2 linked regions of the Lonchura striata genome follow. The protein of the gene in region 1 purifies or fractionates together with the protein of each later gene. This does not show direct contact. Links are inferred from orthologs where the notes say so. Each region holds a gene or a part of one and is shown in the gene's direction. Other genes may lie near its edges.

Region 1 (7,018 bases):
TGTTATAGACAAATACTGAAAAATTGAAAAATGTATCCTGTTAAATTATCTGCAGTTGTCCATTCTCCCTTCTTTGAAAAGCTTTCACCCCAAAGTTTCAAGCGAAGGGAAGGTGCAGTTGGGACTCCAGTCACTCCCAAAGAAATGTAGAGCCTGAGCATAAAACCCTTTCCTTGGCAACTTAAGACAAGTGAGCTTCTTAAGCTGGCAGGCTCCAGGTGCAGGCACACATTTTTCCATACATCTGCCATGATGGCAATGACTTCTGGTAGAGATGCAGCATCAATGGTATCCACCTAAGGTACAGGGATTTCTCTGAAACGTCTGTCAGCAGGCAGAGATTTTCCACACTGTAAGGCCTGAGCCTAACCCATCCCCTGGACCCTGCCAATCCAAAATTCCTAACTGCAATGGAACTTTTTCCATGTAAAGATACAAGACTGGATGATCACTAGAAAATTAAGTAAACACATTGAGGGTGGCCCTCCCAGAAAGACATGCAGACATACAAAAGGTCTTTCCATTCCATTTTTAAGCATGTCTTTACTATTTATTTATGAGCTTTTGTTATAACAAAGCCTAGTGTTTGAAATGTGCAATATCTGGCCTAAGTGTAATAGAGCATTTATACTCAAAGAACCTCCACAAATACTAAAATCTTGCCCTAAAGCATACACATGCCAGCTACTCACTTTGAACTATCCTTATTTGATTAATAAACAATCAGACCACATCTTCAAATCCATCTACCTTGAAACAAGACTATGTTAAAAACAGTTAACTTGTCAATTTAAAATGAAGATTTTCATTAGAGTAATAGATAGTGTAAAACCTACTTAAAAAAATAATCAGTTTAATATTTTATTGACTTTGTATGCAGGGAATTATTGTAACAAGACGATTATTTTATTTCTTGAGTTACAATAATTGGGAATTTTGAACATTAGTCCACCAAAACCCACTACACATAAAAAAAAAAGAATAATGAAATATTGTTCTTTCTTTTTAGAACCTTTGATAATTGTATGTTCTCCTTTAAAAGAAGTTAGTCTGGCACAGTAAATATGAAAGGGGGAAAAAAAGAGTAACATGCTTCCCTAGAAATAGAGAGCAACAAGCCCAACAAAAAAAAGCAATGAAGCTGAAAATTATCTGAACATTCACAGTGCTGGTTTTTCAGCTTCATATTAGAAATGGAGTTAAGACAATGCTGGATAATATTTGATTTCTCCAAGAACTGATGACTACTCCCTCCAAATTATCAGATCTCAAAAGAGAAATACAGCCATTCTTGAAGATCAGCTGCCATCTAGTGAACAGTGAGAATACTGTTTAAAACATTACTTTCAGTTTTTTGCCAATTTAAACAAGATTCTTGGAGGAATATTGTTTGCCACTTCATCTCTGTAAATTTTGGGGTCTGTAAATTATTCAGAAGCATGGCTACTAAAAAGTATGCATTTGACATAAGAGTAATGTCACTCAGCTAAGTTTTCTACGAAAATATATCAATAACATACATGTGATTCCACAATTTGTTAAAAATAAGCCAATCCTCTGGCCTTTCAATAGGACATATTAGTTTTTTGGGGGCTTCACTATACTAAAAAGAACTGAACTATCAGTGTCTTAAAGTAAAATAATCAGTATTACAGCAATAAAATACAGAAAAACTTTAAAGAAGTTTAAGTAAAAATTTACTTAAATGCAGTCATCAAACAATAATAGCAGAGTTTTTATATTGAATACTAACTTTTGTTACTTTGTTACTTAAGGTTAGATTTGCAGGTGTTTTCCTTCTCATAAGAAATCAGATTTTCCAGATGTTACAATAAGTCTGTTAGAGGGAACCACTATATATGAAAATAAACCACAGAGCTCATTGCAAATATTCAATTTCCCATACTTTCCTTTCCTAAACACAACTTTCTAAAACCAAGCAGAGGATGTACCACTTACAGTTTGAAACTCTGAAACACAAATCTGCCATTTTACACAGAGTATGCTTTGAGTACATACTTGAGGGCACTCATGTTTATGAAAACCTTTGCTGGAAAGAAATAAAACAAGAGAATATGTTTATAAGACATTGGCTTGAAAATACACTTGCCGTCTTGGAATGAAAGTTCCTTATAATCTTTTGTCTGTACATTCTCTGGTATGTCCTCCAACAAATACCTGCTAAGTCTACATATTCCATATGAGCATATTCCATATAAACATTTGCATATGTATGCAGTAAATAACCTTGCTATGAAAAGAAAGATTAAGTAGATATTCAGAAGTAGAGGAATATAAAATAAATACTGAAATTAGAAAATTTGGTAATGAATTGAAAGGAAAGCTATTTACAGGCCCCTTTGCACATAATTAGGCTTAAGGAGAAGGCTTGCTGTTTTTCACACTATGCAGCCCTACAAAATTTTGTGAGTTACTATTCAGCATTTAGAACTATTGTGAACTGGTTCTCTTAACACTGCCTGCTTTTATTCACATGACTTACTGAAATACTTTGTGTACAGCCTTGGTTCAGTATGCAATGTGATTAAACCACAAAGGTTTTCTTACACTGTCCTTCCTGAGGCCTTCAGAATACAATGCAGGACAGATTGTAGTTATGCTGTAAACCACCTTCTCTGGGTTTTCTGTGAATTTGACTGTGTCTGACTAGCACTGAGCATTTGACATCCCAATTTTTGTATGTCTGTGGTCTCAAAGTCTGTGTGTATTCAGCACGTGTGACTTTATTTAAAATGAAGCTACTTTCAAGAATAAAACTATGCACATACTAAATTTTATCTTGTAGCCTACAACACTGGCAGACCTCCTGGAAAGTTTTTTATAAAAGCACCACACAATTCATGGCATAATCTAAGAAGGTGGTGGACCAAAACTTTCCTTAAATGCTAAGTATTTGTCAGAGCAGCACACTAGAACAGGTTTACCAAATGTTGAATGAGTGTCTTAATTACTTGTATCAGCAGCTTCTCAAGCCAATCGTGTGGCTCCCCACATCTTTTAACCAGCACCCACAGCTGAGTGACGGTGACTGGTGACCACGGAGCAGAGGGAAGCACTGGCAGGGGCACAGGAATGGGGAAGCCACACATTTGGGAAGATGTTTCAGAAGCACCAACCAAACGGGCAGTGCTGAGGGCTCAAAAAGAGGGCAAAGAAATGAGGGTGGCAAACAAGTCCTGTTGTGACCAGCTCTGTGGATAACAAGCCAGATGACAATTAGAAAAGGGGGGGTAGGGGGGGCCAATGTATTTCATCTGTGGAATGAGGGTATAAGAGATCTCCAGGACACAGCACTCACCTCACAGGCATTGCTTTGACAGCCCTTCCAAAGGAAGGCCCAGGGCAGTGGCTGAGGCAGGGCATGAGGGAGGTGGCAGACATCGAGTACTGTGGCCAGTTTTGGGCCACTCAGTTGAGGAAGGCCATTGAGGGACTGGAACAGGTCCACAGAATGGCAACAAAGATGTTGAAAGGCCTGGATCACAAATCCTATCAGGAATGGCTGAGGGAGCAGGAAAAAGAGGCTCAGGCAGGACCTCATTGCTCTCCACAACTCCCTGAAAGAAGGCTGTAGCCAGGTGGGGCTTGGCCTCTTCTCCCAGACAGGACAAAAGGCCACAGTCTCAAGCTGCACCAGCGGAGGTTTAAGTTGAACATTAGGAAAAAATCCTTCACAGGAAGGGCGACTGGATATCGAATGAACTGCCCAGGGATCACTGTCCCTGGCTGTGTTTAAGGACAGACTGGACGTGGCACTGTGAGACACGGTGATGCTGGCACACAGGCTGTACTCGATGACCTCGGAGCCCCACTCCCACCGAACTCCTCCCGCGACCCGCGCGGGCCGAGGCGGGGCGCAGTGCGCGTGCTCCGCTGTGGCGCATGCGCGGGGCCGCCTGTCAGCGCGCGAGCGGCCGGGCTGCGCTCCGGCCCGGGGGTCCCGTCCCGCCCGCCGCCGGGCGCTGGCGGAGCGGGAGCCCCGCGGGAAGGCGAGGCGCGGTGAGTAAGGGGCCGACGGGCCCGCGCAGAGCAGAGGGGTTGCTGCCCTCACTCGCGGAGGCAGCGATGGAGGCGGCAGTCTTAAAGCTGCTCCCGCCCGACCCAGGAGATGAGGGCACGCAGCGGTGCCGCTTGGGACCTGCCGCGCTCTCCTTCCTGGGAGCCAGGATCGGCGCCCCGCTGAGGATCTCCTTGCCCGGCGGCTGCTGCCTGTGCACGGCGTGGCCCCGGCACGACCTAGCGGACGGGTACCTGCAGGCCGACCTCAGCTGCAGCAGCGCGGGGCTGAGGGCGCGGCGGCTGCGCGGCCTCTCGCTGAGCGCGGGCCGGCTGCGGCTGCTGCCGCACCGACAGCTGCGGGCGGCGGCCGTGAGAGTGGTCCTCAAGAGCGCCGCGCTGAAAAAGTCGACTCCCAGAGCGGTGTTGCAGGAGACCATCAGAGAACTGCTAAGAAACGTGTACGTTGCGCCTCGTTATGTTGTTACTGTTGCCCCGAGTCCCGAAAATCCCGCGGTGTATATTGAAATACTGTCTGCGTCTCCTTTGGTGGAGGAGGAGGGAGCTGGATTGATAACTCCCCAAACAAGCATAAAAATTAAGGAGGTGATCACTTTAGAATGGTACAGACATCTGTCCGAAGACACTGCAAAAACTCCAATTGCAGGACTGGATGATGTAGCGAAGTCTTTGAAAGAAATTATTGATCTGCCTTTCCGCTTTCCAAAAACTTTCAAGAAGCTGGGTCTTTCTGTCCCTAATGGAGTGCTGTTAATTGGGCCCCCAGGTGTGGGGAAAACTCTAATGGTAAAGGCAGTAGCCAAAGAGCTGGGTGCATATCTGTTTGGTATCAGTGGCCCGGCCCTCCATGGTTCAAGACCAGGAGAAGGTGAAGAGAATTTGCGAAGAGTCTTTGAAAAGGGCAGAGAGATGTCAAACGAGGGCCCAACCATTCTCTTTTTTGATGAGATTGATTCATTATGCCCAAAGCGAGGAAATTCAAACAATGCTCCTGAAGATCGTATTGTTGCTCAGTTGCTGACGCTGCTGGATGGTGTAGGGAGTGAGGGTAAGATGGTCATTGTGGCAGCAACAAACCGGCCTGATGCCATAGACCCTGCACTGAGAAGACCTGGCAGATTTGACAGAGAGGTAAATAAACCCTGTTATTCATACATTCACATTTTTCTTTCTTCATTGAGGTGGAAGGGGGCTATTAATAGGTTTTTTTTAATGTCTTCTAGTCATTTCATAGTGGGATTCTACAGGTTTGACACAGGTGTCTTGTTTCTGTCTTTAGTTTGCTGCAACTTGGGTATGGTTGTTTTGGTGTTTTTTACTCAGATCACTGAGAGCTCCATGTACATGGAAATGGATGGGAGGAATCCTTTTACTTCTTTATCATAAAGACATTGACCTGATCTTCAGGGGCTTTGTTTGCTTACAGATGCTTAGCTTTACAGGATTGGATTTTTTCCATATAAATCCTAGATTGCAGATTTGTGCATTTCTCCTTAAACATTTATTGTTATAGAGAACTAGTAACCTGCTGTGTCAAAACTTCTATTCAGGTTTCAGTAACAGAGGTTGGGTCTACTTTGGAAAACTTCCTTTAGCCTTTTAGTCCAAAGAAGAAGAACACATGCAGTTATACAATACACAATGCTTGTGCTTGTATTGTTTCTTTTCCTGGATAAACCCACTCTAGATCACCAGTTCAATCAAGTTCTTTAATGATTATAAATTTCATTATTTTCTGGGCTTTATAATAATTAATTATTAATTATTATTTCATTATTATCTGAGATGTATTTTTATTATGATGTTTTACCAGGTTTTCAATAATGTATGAATGTTTATCTATTTTATTTTTTCCTAACATATTAGTCTAATTTAGTGCTTGTGATGTAAGGAAATTATTATTATTTCAATGTCTTATCAACAAATCTTCATGCAAACACTGTTCACTTGGAAAGTAAATGGTATTTTAAATACTTGTCATTTGTATAGAGCTGGCAATAGCTTTCCTGTAAAACTCTTTTGTTGGGATATAAGTATATATAAATTTTTAGTAGCCAATATAAAGCAGAGACAAAGTTGCTTGCTTAGGTGTGTAAAATAAATGAGAATGGCAAATTATCTACTTAAAATTTTTGTTTATTGTGTTTGGTTTAGGTTATTATCGGGACCCCAACAGTTACACAGAGAGGATGCATCCTGCAGTTGCTTACATCGGACATGCCCATTTCTGCAGAGGTTGATTTGGCTAAGCTGGCAGAAATGACCACTGGGTATGTTGGAGCTGACCTTACAGCACTCTGCAGAGAAGCTGCCATGCAGGCTGTGTCCCACAGCTCTTTGGTATGGTTGCAGATCAGTCAAGAACAATGTCAGTAATATTTGTACTACCCTTTCCTCATTAATACTTGAAAAGCTCAACATGTTGAAGACTCACACCAATCATATTATAAATATGTTATTTTTGCTCCTTTCAGTTTTCTCCTTAGTCCTGTTACTGCATCTGTGCTTTAATAGTGGCATTTTATAACCTGTTTCAGATAAAATGTGTTACATTCTTCAGTGTGTGGTGAAAATGGATTTTGCAACTTTTTTCTTTCTATTTGTAAGATTGTGGGATGTGATGTATGTTAACCCTGAAAACAACTATTTGATTTAGCAGATCACTGCCTAATGGAGCTATAGTTTAGGGACTAGTAGTTTTCTCTGAAACATTAATTTCTGTTATTTTTTTTTATTAAAACTTGTTATTTCTGATAAACTTTTTTTGTAAAAACTTGTTATTTACTTTATGTTGCGCTTTTGTTTGTGCAGTGTTTAAGCTCATTAGGTCAGGTATTGACTTCCTTATTAGTTGTATTTAGCGCTATGTGATGTGGTTTGCATATTAATGAAGCATTTAAGTATTGCATTAAAATGGTGTTAATATGCTCTATCTGGGCTTACTTTTTCAGGATTCAACTGAAACTGAAACCATGATCAA
Region 2 (6,305 bases), on another chromosome or scaffold:
GATGTTTTCGGTGGCTTTTGGACATCATGTTCTCTGAACAGTATTGTGACTGACAGATATAACCTAGAAAGTTGGTTTAGTGGCTTGGATTGATGGCTTTGTTATGCAAGCAGAGTGGGAACAAAAGGGGCTTTAAGCTTCAGGATTTATTTTGTCATTTAAAAATAAAGATACTACTTTTCTCTCCTTGAGTGGGATAACTGAGTTGCTGAAGTTAAGCTAGTAGACATTTAGAATTATGTTTTAATCCATTATCAGAAGACCCATTACAAAAAAATGAGATAAAGATTCGGCTGTTTGGGCTGATGGGATAACTGCATTAATGTACTTGGCCATCTTTCTATTGTAATTTTTCCACTCTGCTTGTGTAGAAGGTTAAATATGTAGTAAATCATGTCTCTCTCTCTGTAAGATGTATCTAGTGAAATTATGTTTCTCAGACATACTGTTAAAATTACCTTTTCTAAATTCATTGTTATGCAAATGAATGCAATCAGTGTAAAGTTATTTTTGCAACACACCTTCCAGCCACTGGACACAATTTCCCTTTTCTGACCCACAGCTTCTATAATATACTGACATAGTGTTTGAGGGCTTTTTTGCTTTTTCCCTAAAGATCTGTATTTTTTACATTGGCCAGTTTTTAGACTGCTTATTCCTTTAAGATTGTCCTGTAAATTTAAGATTATTTTGTGATCTTAAATACTAAAGTAATGAATATGTAGTTAATTTACTTTTTTTTCTGTGGTTTTTGGTTTGTTTGTTTCCTGTAAAGAATGGCTTCAGAAAGGCAGCTCAAATGAAGAAAAACCTCTTGCTACCTGAGCCATAGTTTTCCTAACAGCTACTGTATGAGGAGTGTCTCTTTTTGTAGCCTGAAGAACTGGTGCTTGCAGATCTCGTGTAATGAGCACTGTGCCCTTGAGTAACAGTCTGCAGAATTTGTCTTTAGAATTGGAACTGTGGCCTTTAACTTTGGAAACGGTTTATTTGATTCTTTGGGACCATGCTTAGGTGCATACAGGTCAAATAAACCTGTGAACACTGTGGGAAAAGCCAAGTCTGAATGTGGATGATTCTGTTACCACAGTGCTTTTTAATAGGCTACTACAAATATGATAAATAACTCCTGGCTGTAAATTACAAGATACAGAAGAACTACTGTATTCCATGTACTTTGTTTTTTGTGTTGCCTTCTCCAGACACCATCCTGGCCTTTTGCTTTTGATGCTGAGCTTCAGTCTAACAGCGCTGTTCCAGCCATACTGGGAGGCAGTTTTGTTGCTTTAAATACCCAAAAAACATAGTTTATTATTTTTTTCTGTCTTTCCAAGATTTCTCTCTATTTTCAGGATATTTAAATTTTTTTGTTCAAATAAAATCCAGTCTCCTTGCCCCCTTTTTCTCTTGATAAAAGTCTTGATAAAATTAGAATGTGGACAGCAGTTCTACTTCAGTGCTGGTACTCGGCATAAAGCTTGAAGGAGAAATAGATTTGACTTGCCCGGAGAAAAAGTATTTTAAGGTGTCTCTGATGAGGGAAATGAAGCTCTTATCAAGTAGTTACTTGAGCATAACTACCCATATGGATTTTCTTATTCCAGAAATATAACCTTATTGTGAATGAAATAGTAAATAGTTTTTCCTATGTGTAGCTCGTAACAGAATACCATATAAAATACAATAAGCACATCCTGCCTCCTCCTAAGTTCATGCCACATGAAAATGCTTGTCTCAGAACAAGTCCATCCATCTGCAGACCTGTCAGGAACGTGGTGCCTTCTGGAGTGAGGTGTGGCCTCAGAGTCCCTGGCATTTCATGCCATTTTCTTCTCCCTCACTTCTGCATTTGTTCCTTTAACTGTTGCATTGCAGTGACATACTCCAAGGAGTGGAGTGGCTGGGATTCCCTTGTTCCTACACATCCGTATTTCCTGTGATTTCTTTGCTGCCACAGGTGTATTTCCTGTTCCCTTTGTTGCTTCACAGCTCTATTTCCAAGCAGGTCTCTTTATGTCTACATGAGGCTCCAGCTTGGCTCTGACAGAACCCATCATTTGCACTGACATGTTGCTCACTTATCTTCAGCTCTGTGTTACCATTAGATGGGCAGTTGGCTGCATAGTCTTTGTTTATAGCAGGAATCAAAAGTCTCAGGACTTTTTAATGCTCATTCTATATAAAGGCCCTTTAACTGCAACCTTAACAGAGGTTGCAGGTTAGAAGAGACCTGTAAAAATCCTCTTTACACCCCAGGACCTTGGAGAATCTGTTACCTTTATGCACATCAGAAAGGTTTTGATGCTGCAGGAAAGTATGCACGCTGTATGTTCTAGGTCTCTTGTAGCCACCTCTCATGTCTTCACTGTTAAACCACTGTGTCTCTTCTTTCTGTATCTTCTTTTGAAAGTCTTATCTCTAAACAAAGACATATCTATATTTGATCCTGCATTTTATTGACACTGTTGGGTCCAAACTCTGTGTGAGCAGAGCCTTGTGAACCAGTGAGCGGAAGGTGACATAGTGATTGCATTTTTCAAAGCACTGTTTTAGCTGAATGTCGGGACAAATTATACTGGATAGATTGTTTTCTCATTATATTGGCCTGGGAAACAGAATTTTTATTTGCCTTTCAATATGCTTAGCTTTAAACCAGTTTAAAATTATTTAAAGGTGTTTGTTGGGTTTTTTTTTATACAAGACCATATTTATATGCAATTATTATTTGTAAACGTAATGCTTTTCTTGAAATGCTAAGGTCTAGAGTGAAAATGATGCAAAAGCCTCCATTAAGAATAGCACAGTGAATTGACTTGGAGTTCCAGAAAAGATGTTGTTTATTGAACTTCCAGATTTTCTAGTTAGCTATTACTGAAGTGACAAGTCCATCTTGGTAAGGCAGATGTTACTATATATTCAGCTACCCAGATTGTTACACTAAAATTACATGCAATAATCTCTTGAGCAAGTTTAAGCCAAAATGCTTTCCATTTGGGCACAAAATACAGTTGATCTCTTATTTTCATAGAGTGATGCCTTGTGACTTGAATTGTGATTTTTATGTTTAATTTTTTTTTACAAAATTTTGATTTAAACAGGTCTGGCTTGAGGGTGCTGCAGTAACCACCTCCAGTCAGCTGCTGCAGATGGGTTTTTGGAAGGTTCATGTTTTTTAAATCAGGGAGCTATGAAAAAGGCTGTTAACAGAAACATAAAGACAAAACAATGAAAGTGTTCACTTGAAACTTAGAAAAACTACATCATGACCTAGACTTTATAATTTCAAAGTGGTTTGTTTTTTTCTTTTTAGACTATGCATGCCAAATGTCTTGTCTTTTTCAATGATTTGTAATATACATTTTATGACTGGAAACTTTTTGTACAACATACTCGAATAAATGTTTTGCATTTTATTGGTTTTCTTCTGTCTACTAGCCAACACACAGGTAACATGGGCTATTTGAGATGATTCATCAAAGGAGGCCTTTCAGTGTGGAGAGAGGACATAAAGAGCTGCTGTCTGTGCTCCTAACTGATCAGCTGAATTGTGTTCCAGCAGGGATCGTGGGGTGTGTTCCAGAAACAAACAAATGCTTTCCTTAAATGTGATGGAGCCTGGTGGAACCTGCTGTCCTCTCTGATCAGTACCAACAAAAGCAGGGGGAAGAATATCTGGTGCGGTGTGGAGGATCAGAAACAGGACATCACGCCATGATCAATGTGATCAAGTGAAGCCAACTTTATTATACAGAAATCTATATTTATAATATATTCTAATGTCCCTCTAGCTAATACATGATTGACCATTCCTGTCCATGCATCTCAGACTAAATGCTGTTTGGATCACACAATTCTACACACATATTGCTGTGGTCGTCTAGCCCACCCTTAGTCCTTTTTTTCACTTTCTCGAACTTTGCTGACAACTTGGTGATTCTTGCAGACTCTTCTCTCTTCAGGAATTCACTCTCCTTGGTCCTTGAACTGGTTGCTTTGTTACCAGAAGGCTGGATTGTGAATCTGCTGAATGTGTCCATTGTCCTGCAAAAATTCCTCAGCAATCTGGGGCCGGAGCAGATAAACCTTCACTTGCTTTCTCATTGCCGCTGCACTGAAGGGGTTTTTTGATTTAACCTACTTGACGCTAAATAAGAATGAGAGTAGAAACGGATCCCTGGCAGGGATGGACAGAAGTATTGCCACCAGCTGATGCATTTGTCTGCCTGGCTCAGCCTCCAGCCCATTTTTGAGTACAGACTCAAAAGTGGGCTGGAAGCTGAGCCAGGCTGGCAAATTTTAAATTCATTTTAAACTTGTACCTTAAACGCGTTTCATTTTAAATTTGTACCTTAGGTGGCTGCCCTATTATTAGCAGTAGCAGATGATGTTTCTTGTGGAGTGGTAGGAATGCCTTCTGTTTGAAGTGGGCAGATCCAAAGACAGGATGATATGGTTTACAATACTCTGAGTGTGGGCTCGGGCTACTGACGATGAGCACAGTTTTGGCTTCAGCTTTGCTGTGGTACTCAGTGCCCTCCTCTCATGCCATCTCCTACCTGCACATCACATCTCACCCATGAAAAAGAGCTCCCTAGCGTGGTCCTCTCGCATTCGTTTCTACTTCGACCCACAGCATTCTTACTTAATGGAAGGAAGTGTAATGAAGCTGACTTTAAGGGCATGGGCCTCTCACCCGAGTCACCTAAGGCAGAAGAAAGCCTCGAAGAACAGAAGGATGAATTCCAGGAGAACCCATACGGCAAGTTTCTCTCTGCGGGGATCTCAGCAGAGCTGCTGTTTCACCACCGGGTGCAGCTGTGCGGCGTTTGTGTCTCTGGTGATGCCAGTTTAAAGCCCCTTCCCGTTGCCCTCAGTTCGTGGGGCTGCGCTGAGCCCTGGTACTCGAGCCCTGCTGCCTGAACCCCTCGGGAGCTCGCTCGGGGCCGCGGCCGGCAGCGGCACGGGCGCCCCCGGCCGCGGGGCGGGCGGAGCGCTCGGCCCCGCCCCGGCGGGGGCGGAGGCGGCGCTGGGCCCGCCGGGAGCCGCAGGCCGGGCGCCGCCATTTCTCCCTGCGGCGGCGCAGGGCCTCGGCCGCGCTGACTCTGGGCATGGAGAGCGGCTTCGGCTCCGACTTCGGCTCCGGAGGAGGCGGCGGGGGCAAGCTAGACCCGGTGCTCATCATGGAGCAGGTGAAGGTGCAGATCGCCGTGGCCAACGCGCAGGAGCTCCTGCAGGTCAGAAGGGGCGCGGGGCCGGGCGGGGGCTGGCTCGGTCCCGGCGCAGGTCGCGGGGGACGGCCAGGCCGCCCCGCTCCCCTCGTAACGGGGGCGGCGGCTGCAGTCGGAGCCCCCGGACCGCGCTGCCACTCATGGGCTCTCTCCGCAGCGGATGACGGACAAGTGCTTTCGGAAGTGCATCGGGAAGCCCGGCGGCGCCCTGGACAACTCCGAGCAGGTGAGGGCGGGCGGGAGAGCTGGGCACCCGCGGCCCCTTCGCTCGGGGCTGCCGCTGAGGCTCTGTGTCCCGCAGAAGTGCATCGCCATGTGCATGGACCGGTACATGGACTCCTGGAACACAGTTTCGCGAGCCTACAATTCTCGGCTGCAGCGGGAGAGAGCCAACATGTGACGCCTGCCGGCCTCCGGGCCGAGAGGGACCATGTGGGGAAGGGACAGCGGCCAGTCCAGGTGCTTAGGGGTGAATCCTGCTGCCTTCCCAGCCCCTGCCATGGCAGAGCAATAAAACCTCGCTGAACCTTTTGCATCTATTGGCTTTTATTAGCACCAGCTCCAGGAGAGAGTAATTTTTTTTTCCATGAGCTGCTAGGTTTACTTCTTGTCCTTCCTAAGTGTCCAGACTGGCCCAAGGCATTATATCAATTGGTAAGTCCCTACTGAAAGGGCTGTGACAGGCAACGAGCCTTCTGTGGAAAATAGGGACCAAGCCAAGTCAGCAACACAGTACCCTTGCTTGGGATTCCAGCATGGACCCATCCATAAGGTTGTTAGTCCCTTTTCATAGTGGAAAAACTGCCAGAAGATTGTCCACATGCCACCTTGGATCTTTCATTGCTTAGATCTGTATAGCATTTTGTGGGGCTGTCTTTGGGGTCACAGGCTTTGACTCAGCTCAGGCACAGTGTTGGGGAGCAGGACAGCCTTGCAAATGGTTGTATGAGCACAGCTAGGGATGCAGGGTTGAGAAGGACTGGTTGGGAAGTACTTCTTTTCTTTATAGAATACAGTGTGTTGTGTGGCTGTGATACACTCTAGTTTCTGGTTTGGCTCTGGCACAGGTATTCCCTC

Evidence for each region. The genes of interacting proteins can lie anywhere in the genome.
Region 2: the proteins of AFG2B (region 1) and TIMM13 purify together in Homo sapiens (co-immunoprecipitation; 3 studies listed by BioGRID and IntAct, with this or other methods). This does not show direct contact. The link is inferred for Lonchura striata from reciprocal best matches to the Homo sapiens genes AFG2B and TIMM13.

Annotation. Positions count from the first base shown.
Region 1 is NC_134613.1:14,383,820-14,390,837, forward strand, and holds the start of AFG2B (ATPase family gene 2 protein homolog B), read left to right. Parts: upstream 1-3,961; 5' UTR 3,962-4,086; coding exon 4,087-5,169; intron 5,170-6,192; coding exon 6,193-6,378; intron 6,379-6,989; coding exon 6,990-7,018. UniProt on the Homo sapiens protein: ATP-dependent chaperone part of the 55LCC heterohexameric ATPase complex which is chromatin-associated and promotes replisome proteostasis to maintain replication fork progression and genome stability.
Region 2 is NC_134630.1:1,496,185-1,502,489, forward strand, and holds TIMM13 (mitochondrial import inner membrane translocase subunit Tim13), read left to right. Parts: upstream 1-5,046; 5' UTR 5,047-5,108; coding exon 5,109-5,234; intron 5,235-5,385; coding exon 5,386-5,454; intron 5,455-5,529; coding exon 5,530-5,628; 3' UTR 5,629-5,763; downstream 5,764-6,305. UniProt on the Homo sapiens protein: Mitochondrial intermembrane chaperone that participates in the import and insertion of some multi-pass transmembrane proteins into the mitochondrial inner membrane.